2 linked regions of the Caenorhabditis elegans genome follow. The protein of the gene in region 1 interacts with the protein of each later gene in a pairwise test. Each region holds a gene or a part of one and is shown on either strand. Other genes may lie near its edges.

What was found. The genes of interacting proteins can lie anywhere in the genome.
Region 2: the proteins of nfi-1 (region 1) and sma-9 interact in a two-hybrid assay, tested with the Caenorhabditis elegans proteins (one large-scale study listed by BioGRID).

Annotation. Positions count from the first base shown.
Region 1 is NC_003280.10:7,536,585-7,543,066, forward strand, and holds nfi-1 (Nuclear factor I family protein), read left to right. Parts: upstream 1-1,695; coding exon 1,696-1,713; intron 1,714-2,115; coding exon 2,116-2,379; intron 2,380-2,434; coding exon 2,435-2,515; intron 2,516-2,570; coding exon 2,571-2,669; intron 2,670-2,724; coding exon 2,725-2,856; intron 2,857-2,912; coding exon 2,913-3,267; intron 3,268-3,432; exon of another isoform or gene 3,433-3,453; intron 3,454-3,682; coding exon 3,683-3,941; intron 3,942-3,990; coding exon 3,991-4,286; intron 4,287-4,328; coding exon 4,329-4,466; intron 4,467-4,730; coding exon 4,731-4,863; intron 4,864-4,910; coding exon 4,911-5,197; intron 5,198-5,246; coding exon 5,247-5,394; intron 5,395-5,574; coding exon 5,575-5,674; intron 5,675-5,792; coding exon 5,793-5,954; downstream 5,955-6,482. Other genes in the region: ZK1290.13 (MARVEL domain-containing protein), read left to right, coding at 88-342. UniProt on the Caenorhabditis elegans protein: Probable transcription factor which recognizes and binds the palindromic sequence 5'-TTGGCANNNTGCCAA-3' present in promoters. Plays a role in locomotion, pharyngeal pumping, egg-laying, and life span.
Region 2 is NC_003284.9:10,771,279-10,776,120, reverse strand, and holds the start of sma-9 (Transcription factor sma-9), read right to left. Parts: upstream 3,031-4,842; coding exon 2,467-3,030; intron 2,415-2,466; coding exon 2,259-2,414; intron 2,191-2,258; coding exon 1,653-2,190; intron 1,229-1,652; coding exon 777-1,228; intron 592-776; coding exon 516-591; intron 292-515; coding exon 1-291. UniProt on the Caenorhabditis elegans protein: Transcription factor, probably acting as a transcriptional activator and repressor, involved in the TGF-beta-like dbl-1 signaling pathway.

The DNA of each region.
Region 1 (6,482 bases):
GCATTAAAAAAAAATCACAAATTTTAATGAGCAGATCCAATTCAAAAAATTGTGACGTATGGCTTGTAGTTATAGAATTTCGTTTAGGATGAGACATTCGATGGGACTGAAAGTGAAATTTCAAATATTGGTGGCACCTCACCAGCATACCCTGTAGCCTATAGAAATAGGCCACCAAAACCAAAGAGAATGGCAATTCTAGAAGAAGCACAAGTTGAAGAGTATACACCGGAACCTTCTCCTGCTCCAAGAAGAACAGTTAAGAATCCAGTTCATCAATCAGATGCAAGTCTTGCATCCAAGTTTAATTCATTGTCAAGATTTGAAGAATCTGCTTTTTGATTCTAGTTATTTTTATGTTATTAGACATGGTGTCAGAATGTCCCATGTGAAGATCTACGAGAACGGCAGGAATTTAGGCGCAGCCTTTTCAACTAATTTCTCATAGTTAAGAACGTGCTGACGTCACATTTTTTAGGAAAAATCCCGCATTTTCTGTAGATCAAAGCGTAACGGGGGATCCTGACACCACGTGTTATTATTAAACTCTAATACTTGTTTGATTTGAACTGTTGAACTGACGACTTGAGCATTGTATTTAGCATGCTATAGAACTGATGTCACATGATTTTTGTTTTTTATGGAACGAGGGAGCAAACAAATGAATAAAATAAATTTCGAGGTTATCTTTTTCTGTATGTTGCAAAATGTTTTTTTACAAAACGAAATTTCTGTTTTTTCACATGTTCGCAAGAAACTTTCAGCTATTTCGAACGTTAAACTGATGTGCGATTTTTATCGATTTTTAATAGTTTTTCTCACGATTTGCTAAAAATTTTATAACAATGAAACAACATTTCTTTAAGCACAAGCCTTGAGAAAAACTATGAAAAACCGATAAATATTCCGCAACAACGGAGGTTTGAGACTACAGTACTCTTTTTTAAAGACGCGCACCATTTTGCAATAGTTAACAATATCGTTGCGAGACCTGCCGTTTTATTTAATCGATACTTTCTTCTTTGTTTTTTTGTTTATGAGTTTTCTCTTTTTCTGAACAGATCGCTTGAGATTTTTCGTTAAATTTTTTATTTGTTGATAATTAATAAATAAATTTCAAAAATTCGATAATCTTCATTTTAATTTTTAAGAATTAATTGTCATCTGTCAGTTAATCAAGATTTCGCGCGGAAAATTCCGTTTGAAATATGGCCGCTGGACTAGTATTTGTACGACCCTCTGCGCATTTTTGCTCTATAGTTAATTTACCGTAGTTTGATTCGCAGCGCATCCCAGACCACCTGTATTTTTAATATTGGCTATGAAAGAGCAAAATATGAGCAGATGAATGTGCAGAAAAATTTATAAAGTTTCCAAAAATATATTTGAATCAGAAGAAGTGTTTCTATAAGCTCAATAAAATTGATTAAACGAGAATTCATTTAATTCAAATTGTTGCCAGTGTTTATTATTATTTCGACAGAAAACTAATCTCGAAAAATATTTTACTTCTTCAATCATTTATTTTCTCATGATATTTTGCGCTCGGTGCCGCTTTTTTCTTCTTTAACGCTTGTCAATTTGTGATATCGATTTTTAAGTGTTTCAGAATGCAGATTATCTGAGCACAAGCCAGGACACCGATCGCAGCAGCATTGCGATTTTTTTCCAGCTCTGGGAGATTTTTTGAATAAAATGGAGCCGCATCTCAAGGTAATTTATTTGTTGTAAAACATTTTGCAGCAGGTTCGCTGCAAATAATTACCTCGCACACACATGCCGGTCTTCATATCGATTAATTTGACGAGTATTCGCTCGACGGGCGGTGTGATTCTATTCATTCAAAATCTTTTCGCTTGTTTCCTTATCTGCGCCTCTTTAAATTTGTGGAGTATTTTTGCTGTTGCTATGAACCAACTATCATCAAAAGGCTATCTCTTCCTATATGCAGTATTATATATGAAAATATAAACTCTTTTTGTAGATACTTTTGATTTTAAATTATACGAATGGAATCTCAGGTAAAAAAGAAAACTTGATTATTAATTTGAAATTTCAAAAAAAAAACTCGTATAAGTATATCAAACAAAGAAATAAACTCAAAATACTTTTCAGATCGATGTCAGCTCCGCCAGCGGTTCGACGACCACTGGTGCAACAGCTTCAACATCAGAAGCACCTCAAGACTCACAGGCACAGCAGACAATGCCTCCACCATCTTCTGATTGGAGTAATCAATTCAATTCTCCAGAAGCCGTGAGTCCGAAAGCCAATGGTATCAAATGCTTCAGTCCTTACTCACAGGAAGATATGGGACCATTTGTCGAACAACTTCTACCTTTTGTCAGAGCAAGTGCCTATAATTGGTTTCATCTGCAGGTAGGAATTATTGAATATAATTTTTAATTTTTCAATTTCATTCCCCTGTTTTCAGGCAGCAAAACGACGGCACTTCAAAGAATTTGATAAGAAGATGTGTGCGAGTGAAGAAAACGCGAAATTAGCAGAATTACAAGTAAAATACGAATAAATATGAACAAAAATCATAAAGAAAATTGTTTGCATTTCAGAATGATAGAGATGAATTAAAAGTGAAATGGGCTTCCAGACTTTTGGGAAAAATAAAAAAAGATATTCAAAATGACGATAAAGAAGCGTTTATTTCGGCTGTAAGTATTTCAATATTTATAATTGATTTAATATAAGGCGAAACCAATTTTTTAGATCAATGGAAGTGAGCCGAACAAGTGTATTATATCAGTTGCTGATCAGAAAGGGAAAATGCGGCGAATTGATTGCTTACGCCAAGCTGACAAAGTTTGGAGGCTTGATCTGGTTACTATTATTTTATTTAAAGTGAGTTTTTAAAAATCCTATTGCCTAATACTTCAAATAAATTTAATATTTTTCAGGGAATTCCTCTCGAGAGCACCGACGGCGAGCGTCTCGAACGATCCGAGGCATGTGTCCACCCTCTGTGCATAAATCCTTTTCATATGGCGATTAGTGTTCGCGGTCTTGACGTTTTTATGGCAAACTATCTGAAAGACGTTGACACTAAAATTACATTGACCTATCCGAGAAATGATGAACTTTCTGATACAGTGATGGTAAAGCAAGAGCCCGGTGAACAGACAATTGTAGCTCCTCATGCAGTTCTTGGCACAAGTTCTACTCATACTCGTGTCTGGGAAACGAATTCCGAACGAAATGCGGAAACAATCATTATCACTTATGATCCACAGAAAGCTTGCCATACTTATTTTGGTAAGATTAAATTATTCTAAAACTCTCTATAAGCAATGAATAAATTGAAAGCTATTGAGAATTCACCATGACATTCTGTCAGCGAAAAAATCCAATTTTATTCAAAATAAAAATATATCCATTTTGCGACGCAGATAAATCGTTTTGATTAATTTATAAATATGTTAAATTGTCAAGGGCTTTAAAATTTTGTGAAACTGTTCAAACGCGATTTTTGTGCCAAAATTTCAAACTCTCGTTGCTTAGAAATTCCCTCTCCCTCTATTTTTCATAGATTTATATTCAATTTCAATCGAAATTCCCCAGAAACAAGAGTTTGAAATTACAGTACTCCTTGAGCACACCTTTTTGCATATTATTGGCTCGAAATTGCAAATTTCCAATAAGAATTCCAAACTTTAAAATAAATTTTCAGGTGGTCGTGCTACTCTTGCCCAACAGTCTCTTTCTGCGGGAAACACGTATATGGTTAACAAAACCGCAGTCGACAACAACTTTTTCAATGCAAAAAGATCTGTTCTATGTCTACCACCTCCTCCGATTCAAAATTGTTTTCCTTATCCCATCGCGGGAACATCTGATTCTCAACAAATGGATATGTCGGAGGATTCCAACGATGGACCTTCAGAGAAACGAAGTCGGGATATATCATCGCATGATTCTCCTAATTCCAGGTAGAACTTGAAAAAATAATTAATATAAATATTTACACAGTTATTTCAGCACTAACGACGAAGTTCGGCGGATAGTGGAAAGTGGAACGGAAAAATTGGTACTCGGAAGCTCCATATGGGCAGCACCAGGCCAATTCTCTCGTACACAACAAAATCAAGGAGCTCCCGGAACGAGTCGGCAAGTGAGACCGCTTCCCGATTTTCAAAGTCAAGATTCTGCGAGGAGTCCGGGTGCATTCCGTTCAACAGCAAAACCCGTTTGTCGAATGACAGTGAATACTGGAAATCATGGCGATGTTGGAGTCGTTGTTGTTGATGAAAGAAATCGGGAGCATGTGATTCATGGTAAGCACGATAATTTTAATGAATAAAATCATATTAATTCAGCTCAACATATAGTGAATGCATTGAGCTCACTTCGAACGACACCATCGATGCGAGAAAGTCCAGTTGGCAGAAAAAGAATGCATCCGCATACGAGCAATTCATTTGAATTTTTGAATTGCAATCAGGAAATGAATAAAAGTTAGTTGTTTTTGTATACGTGACCCTCATTCTCGCGAAAATTACTAATATTTTTCAAACACGAAACTTTTTTATATTAAAAAGCTAAAAAAATATGGTACCCGGTCTATGGAAAATCTACGAAACAAACGTTCGAAATTACAGTACACTTTAAAGGCGCAAACATTTGTGTATTCCATAAATATTTGTCGTGATGAGACCTGGTATCGTAGTTTTGGAAGAATATATGTTTAGTAAAAGTTGAATTTATTTTTTTTGTTTCAGATGAAGGAGCTTTAGGAAGCGATATTTCACCGACTCACACTGCTGTTTCTAATCTAATCAGCAGAGAAAGTAGTGGATACATGGCAAGCCCAACAAAATTCACAACAGCACGCGGAGATACAACAAGCTTCAGGTTTGGCATCGTATCCCGATCATCGTTAAACAATTTTTTCTTTTCAGCAAAATTTTCCAAAAGATCGAAGAGAAACATCTGCAACATAATCAACCGAGCACGAGCTACTGTAATTCACAAATCCAACCACCAATCTTATCATCGAAACCAGTTGATTCATCAGTGAAATTAATTGCTCCAGTTGCAGTGAAACCAATTATGTCAGGATGTAATTCAATCATTCCATCACCCATCACAACTCCTCGTATAACTCCTTCATTTCGAATGCTTGAAGATGATTCATTGATTAATGTACTTGGACAACTTGCACACAGTAATGACGGAACAACTTTAAGTATGATTTTATGAACATTGAACTATCATCCCATTGCTTTTTTTTACAGACGATAGCTTCATTCAACATCTTATTGATACCAATTCTCGATCTCCATTGCTTAGTAGTGGAAATGCTTTTTCGGCATTATCAATGGGAGCTGTGAGTGGATTAGTTCCTGGTAATTCGATTCATCGTCCGGATAGTTCTGCAAGCAAGTAAGTTGAACCATATTGTTTTTTTTCTGAAAATAATGTATCAAAATAAAATGTAATTTTAAAAAAATCTTTCCAGAAATATATACTTTTTTTTAAATTGGCCAAAAGCTTGAAAATTTTATTAATTTCAAATTTCAATCTAAAATCAATGTCTTGTCTAACCAAAAAAAGTTTCTTCAGCGGATCGAATTCGTTGGGTGTAGCAATGGGATTGGCCGTTCCTCAAAATATTGCACTGGCCGTCCAGCAAACTCAAAATGCAATGTCACCTCTTCATCAAGTAAGTTGATATTTTATAAACATTTATAATCAGCAGCTTTTATAATTATTCTGAAAAACACCTTACGAAAATAATTAATCGAAAGATGTAAGCTTTTAATTGTGTAATTCATCGCCAGATTCGTGTTAGCGTTGGAGCTCCACCAGCATGCTCCCCGTCATCATCAAATTCATCTCTAGGAGCTGCAAATCAAGCACCGGTCTCAAATACTCCACAAGATCCGAATGCTCCAAAGCTGCCAACTGACTTTTCACATGCTCTTCGTAATGAGAAAAAATGATTTTGATATTCCTGTTAATCTTTTTATTCGTTTTATTTATCCCTTTCGTGTTACCAATTGAAAAATTAGAGTTATCAAACCTAGTCCTTCTTTAGTATTATTCAAACTAGTTGTTATTTTTATTATTTTCATTTTTCTTCAATCTTCAAAACATTTTCTCCGTCTGTGACGTCATAATCTATTTTTCCGAACCTCTTTTGAAAACCAAAATCCACAAAAAAATCAATTGTTTACGGGGCCACACATTTTCCCTTTTCTTTTCTTCACCGTCACCTCTTTATCTTGTAAATCTGAAAAACTTTGAAAAAACGTCGTAGCTATGCACAATTGTAATCACCACTTCCAGTTTCCCAGTGTTTTCCTTTTATGTTTTTTTTGCGTATTTGAACCTCATGTTTGCATTTCTTGTGTGGGTAGTTCAGATTATTTAATTTTTAAAACGTATTTTAATGAATCTTGAATTTTTATCAAGTCGTGAAGCACAACATAGATTCAAAAGAAATTGGAATATCATATCATCAATAAAGA
Region 2 (4,842 bases), on another chromosome or scaffold:
TATGCGGGTTTCCTTCTTGTGCTATTTGTGCTTTTTCTAGCTCTTTTTTCTTTCCGCAAACAACTTCGTGAGCTTGGAGACCAGCTTCATTGGGAAACGTGAGTTTGCAGTATATACACTCCGGTGTGTAGTTAGGATCATTATGTGCCTGAATCGGACGAAGCAATGGCTGACCACTAGTCAAGCTGCCCATGAAATGTTTTGATCCACTAAGCTCGAATAAACTCTGGCTCCGACTAGCAGCTTGCAACATACGACTGTCTTTTGGCCCAGGCGAAGTTCTTGTTGATCCTGAAAAATATAAAACATTAAGGGACAAACGGGACAATCACAATATTCATCAATATATAATATGCAGATATGGACACGTGCAGACACGCACTGGCATGCAAATCGAGACGGTATAGCGGAAACGTTGGGGCGAGTAATAGAAGGAGACAATATCTTGTCTTGGGATAGAAGGACAAGGGTAATGGAGCGATGCTTTCAAGAAACTCAACCACACCACAACTCACCACCACTATTACTGTCGTGATCGACCGAGGATTGCGCACCTATTTGCCGATGGTATGGCCGCTTTTTGCGAATCACCTGTAAATGGACAGATTCGAAGACGTCAAACAGAAGGACAAATGAGATTTGAAATTATGAATAAAAACATGAAAGGTTTTGTTTTATTTTGGTCTGGTATTGTTTCCGTATCATTTCATCAAACTCCAGGGGGCGAATTATTCAAAAAAAGAAAACCCATCACGCTAGAAGAATTCGGCACTCACCGGGTCTCCTTGAAGAATGACTTCGTTCTCAGAGATGATTCGGCTGATGTGGTCCGACATCGACTCGTTGCCAGACGATGCGGCCTTCGACGAGGAAGGCTGCTCAAGTGGTTTGGAGAGCGAGGGGGCTAAAATCTGATGACTGCTTGTGGCAGATGCAGACGTAGATGTGGATGATGGATTCATGGAAGGGTTAGAATTTTGTTTCATAGGTGGCACAGCAACAGGCGTGCGGACTGCAGCCGGTGCCGTCGTTACCGCCACCGTAGACGGTACCGGCTGCTCTTCTCTCCTTGCAATACCAATTGGAGTTCCCATGGTGATACCACCTCGAGGAGCAGGCGTCGAAGAAATGAGCAACTGACGATGTTGTGCCTCGCGCGCCTGATTTTGCAGCATCCGCTGCTGTTGTTCGTTCAGCATTTGAGCCAACCTCTCTTCTTGTGACTCTGCTGAAGGGGAAAAATATTGGGTAAGCGTGTTTGAACAACCAATGGTTAGAAGGTGGTGCACAGAAAAAGAGAAGAAGATGATTCAGGAGAAAAGCTGAAGTAATGGTTACAAAAATCTCATTCTTTATCACTTTCTAATTATTGTTGGTTTACACACTATCTATTTGCATGCATATTTCAAAAAAAAACAAATGGAAACAAAATGTTCTATGATATTTTTGATGTCATATACGTATATCGGATAATTTTCAAAGAGTTGTGGTGTGGTTGTGTGGTTGAACGTATGTGGACTGGCAAAAAAGGGAAACGATGGAAAACGGGAAGGGAGAAACTGGGAAAACAGAGAAGGGAAACAGACACAGAGTTGTGAAGCGTGTGAACGTGAGAAAATGAAAACAGAGAAAAATACAAAATTTAAACGTACCGTTTGGGGTTCCATCGGCTCTTTGCTGCAGTTGCATAGACTGAATATATTGCAGTGCTTGAGAAACTGTTCTATTTTGAGACTGCCCTTGCTGTTGCTGTTGAGCCTGTTGAGCTAGTTGTGCTTGCTGAGCTTGTTGAGCTTGTTGAGCCTGAGCCTGTTGCTGTTGGAGAAGCAGTTGCTGTTGAAGCTGGGCTTGCATTGTCTGTGTAAGATCATTCAACTGTGGAGTTGAAGACAATGCAGGCGTCGATGCAACCGACGGGCGTTGTTGTGAAGCATTGTTCTGAGCCTGAGCTTGTTGGGCAGCCGCACGTTGCTGATGAAGCTGTTGCTGTTGTTGAAGAAATTGCTGCAGTTGTAACTGTTGTAATTGTTGTTGCTGCTGCGCCTGCTGCTGTGAAAGCTGCTGAGCTTGTTGCTGCTGCAATTGCTGTTGCTGCTGGAGTTGCGCCTGTACCTGGCTCTGTTGGGACGGCTGCATTTGTCTAGACTGGACATGCTGAGCTTGTTGAGCTTGTTGTTGGGCTTGTGAGATCTGAAGAAAAAAAAAATAAAATAACGCCAATTTCAAGTTATCAACATGCTATTTCTGTGTCAACTCACCTGTAGAACCTGTTGTAACTGTTGCTGCTGGAGCTGTTGTTGTTGAAGTTGTTGCTGTTGCAGTTGCTGCTGCTGAAGTTGTTGCTGCTGGAGCTGTTGTTGTTGAAACTGCTGTTGTTGAAGCTGCTGTTGCATGTGCAATATTTGAGCAAATTGCTTAAAATAAAAATCAAAGTTTCGAATTATCAATTTTGTACTAAACACAAACCTGTGGCGTGACTTGCTGTTGAATAGCTGCTAATTGAGCTTGTTGTTCTTGTTGCCGTGCCTGCGCCTGTTGCTGTGCCTGTTGCTGAGCCTGCTGCTCAGCTTGATGACGAGCTTGGGCTTGAGCTTGTTGTTCTGCCTGTTGTCGAGCTTGTTGCGCTTGTTGAGCTTGCTGAGCTTGTTGTGCCTGCTGTTGAGCTAATTGATGTTGCATAATTTGTTGTGGATTCTGAGTATCAGTCTGTTGCGCATTAAGTGCCTGTTGCATCAAAAGCATGTTAACTAAATTTTGTCCTTGTGGTGTTGACAAAGCTTGCAGTATCTGAGCATTCATTTGCAATTGCGGCTGGTTTTGTTGTGAAGCAACTTGTTGCTGTTGCTGCTGCGACTGTTGTTGCTGCTGGACGTGCTGCACTTGCTGTTGTTGCTGCGAAGCCTGCTGCTGCTGAGAAACACTTCCAGGTCCATTAGTCTGGAGCTGTGCTTGTAATAATCGTTGATGATTTAGCTGCTCACGTTGTACCTGCTGAAAGTTGTTCGAGATTCCAATTGCCTGATGGCTCATTCGCCAATTCTAAAACCACTTTTTAAGTTTGATTCATGTAAGTTAAGTTCATCGTAAAACAAAGTGAGATAAGGGGGAAAATGAGAGATGAAGACGTATTACAAAAAATAATGAGAAAGTGATTGGAACCATGTGACGTTCACATGAGACCATAATTAGCATGAAAGTTACTTGTCTACAGCAAACTGGGTACAAGGTTCACTTTTAATGATTCGGGGAAGAGTGGTCACGTTTTTTCTTCATTCCTATCAATTCAAACGTCGTTCTGATTTGATTCATACTGATTTCTCTAATATGTTTCATTACAATGAATGAAGGGGAATAAAAATAACAATTACTAAAACCGTTGCCAAATGTTTTTAAGACTGTATACAATGTCTTGAAATAAATCATTAATCAAAACAGAAGACAATATATTGTCGTTCATTCTTTTTCTATTCATATCAAATCAAGACGCAAATTGCCTCACTTTGACTCCTGCAACAGATTGGAGGCTCTCATGAATGCAGTTCAGTCTTCGAAACGGTTACCCATTACTCGCGCAATCTTTTCACTCACACTATCACAATTTAAAAAAACGGGAAAAGAGTACGTCACCTCAATTCTTCGTCACCTTATCACAGATTTGCAGCTCTTGAAAATGTTCAACACTTCTTTGTAACTTGTGATTGTGATCGATTAGTATTCTATGAGACTAAAAGAGTGTGTGACATACACATTTGCTGCTCTCTGTCCTTTTCTCTCTCTTTCTTTCTTTTTCTCACTCAATGTTCATTGACTTTTCCCGTTATCATTACCGGGAGACCGGCTGTTGGCCAAGTGATCAATGACTCTATGGGTGCTAAACAGGGCGCGAATGATTTGAGAGGGACATTGGAAAAAGAAGATAGAGTGGACTATTGTGAAATAACAAAATGCAAGAGAAGTAGAGAAATGGGAAGAAAAGTTACCAAAAAAAGTGAGTGTGGTTGGTTGATGGCAAAATTTCGTACAATTAAAATATTAAGAGGACAATCAGGGCACCAAATTGTGGTGGATAACTACTGTATTACTTTAGTTTTATCAAAACTGATATTAATGGAAAACAAAATTATTTATTACATATAAATTTAACTAAACACTTGGAGCATCAGGTTTAAAAAAATAGTTTTGATATGCAGAAAATGACTAAATACATTTGAAATTTGAATGTTTTCTAGTTGCTTTCGTTAACAAAAAATCAAAGCCAAAAACTATGTCTATTAAAGCTAGAAAATGGTTATTTTTCAGTCAAAAACTCCTTTTTTAATTCAAGTTGTATACTGTAGTTCATTTATGTAGTCTGTTTTTCTCAATAATTCAAATGACTAAAATAGATGTATCTGGTAGCTGCAAATATTTATTTCACAGTTCTGCTGTTTTTTTTTTAATTTTTCGCCAAGAAAACTTCAAGATTTAAATTTTTCTGCACTCAAATAAGCTAAACCTCACCAATTACGGTACTCTATTAACAAGTTTTCATGATTAATATCTTTATTTTCTCTATCTCTTCGGAAACAAATCATTCAAATCTTGTAAAAAGCGTGTAAAAAGTAAAAGACATTTGTGATAAAGAGAAAAAACACTCATTGGCTCAGAAGAGATGCTTGAGCCTTGACAATTCCGAAAGATCCTTTCTCGTTTGAACCCAGAGAAAACGATAAACAGGAGGAAATGCCCCGGGGTCCCATGACACTAACAGACCAAGTGATATGTGTGCACAGAAAAGCACTCTTTCACTCTTTTTCTCTCTTTTTCTCCCTCACTTTGGATGGATGAGAAATAGAAAAAAAA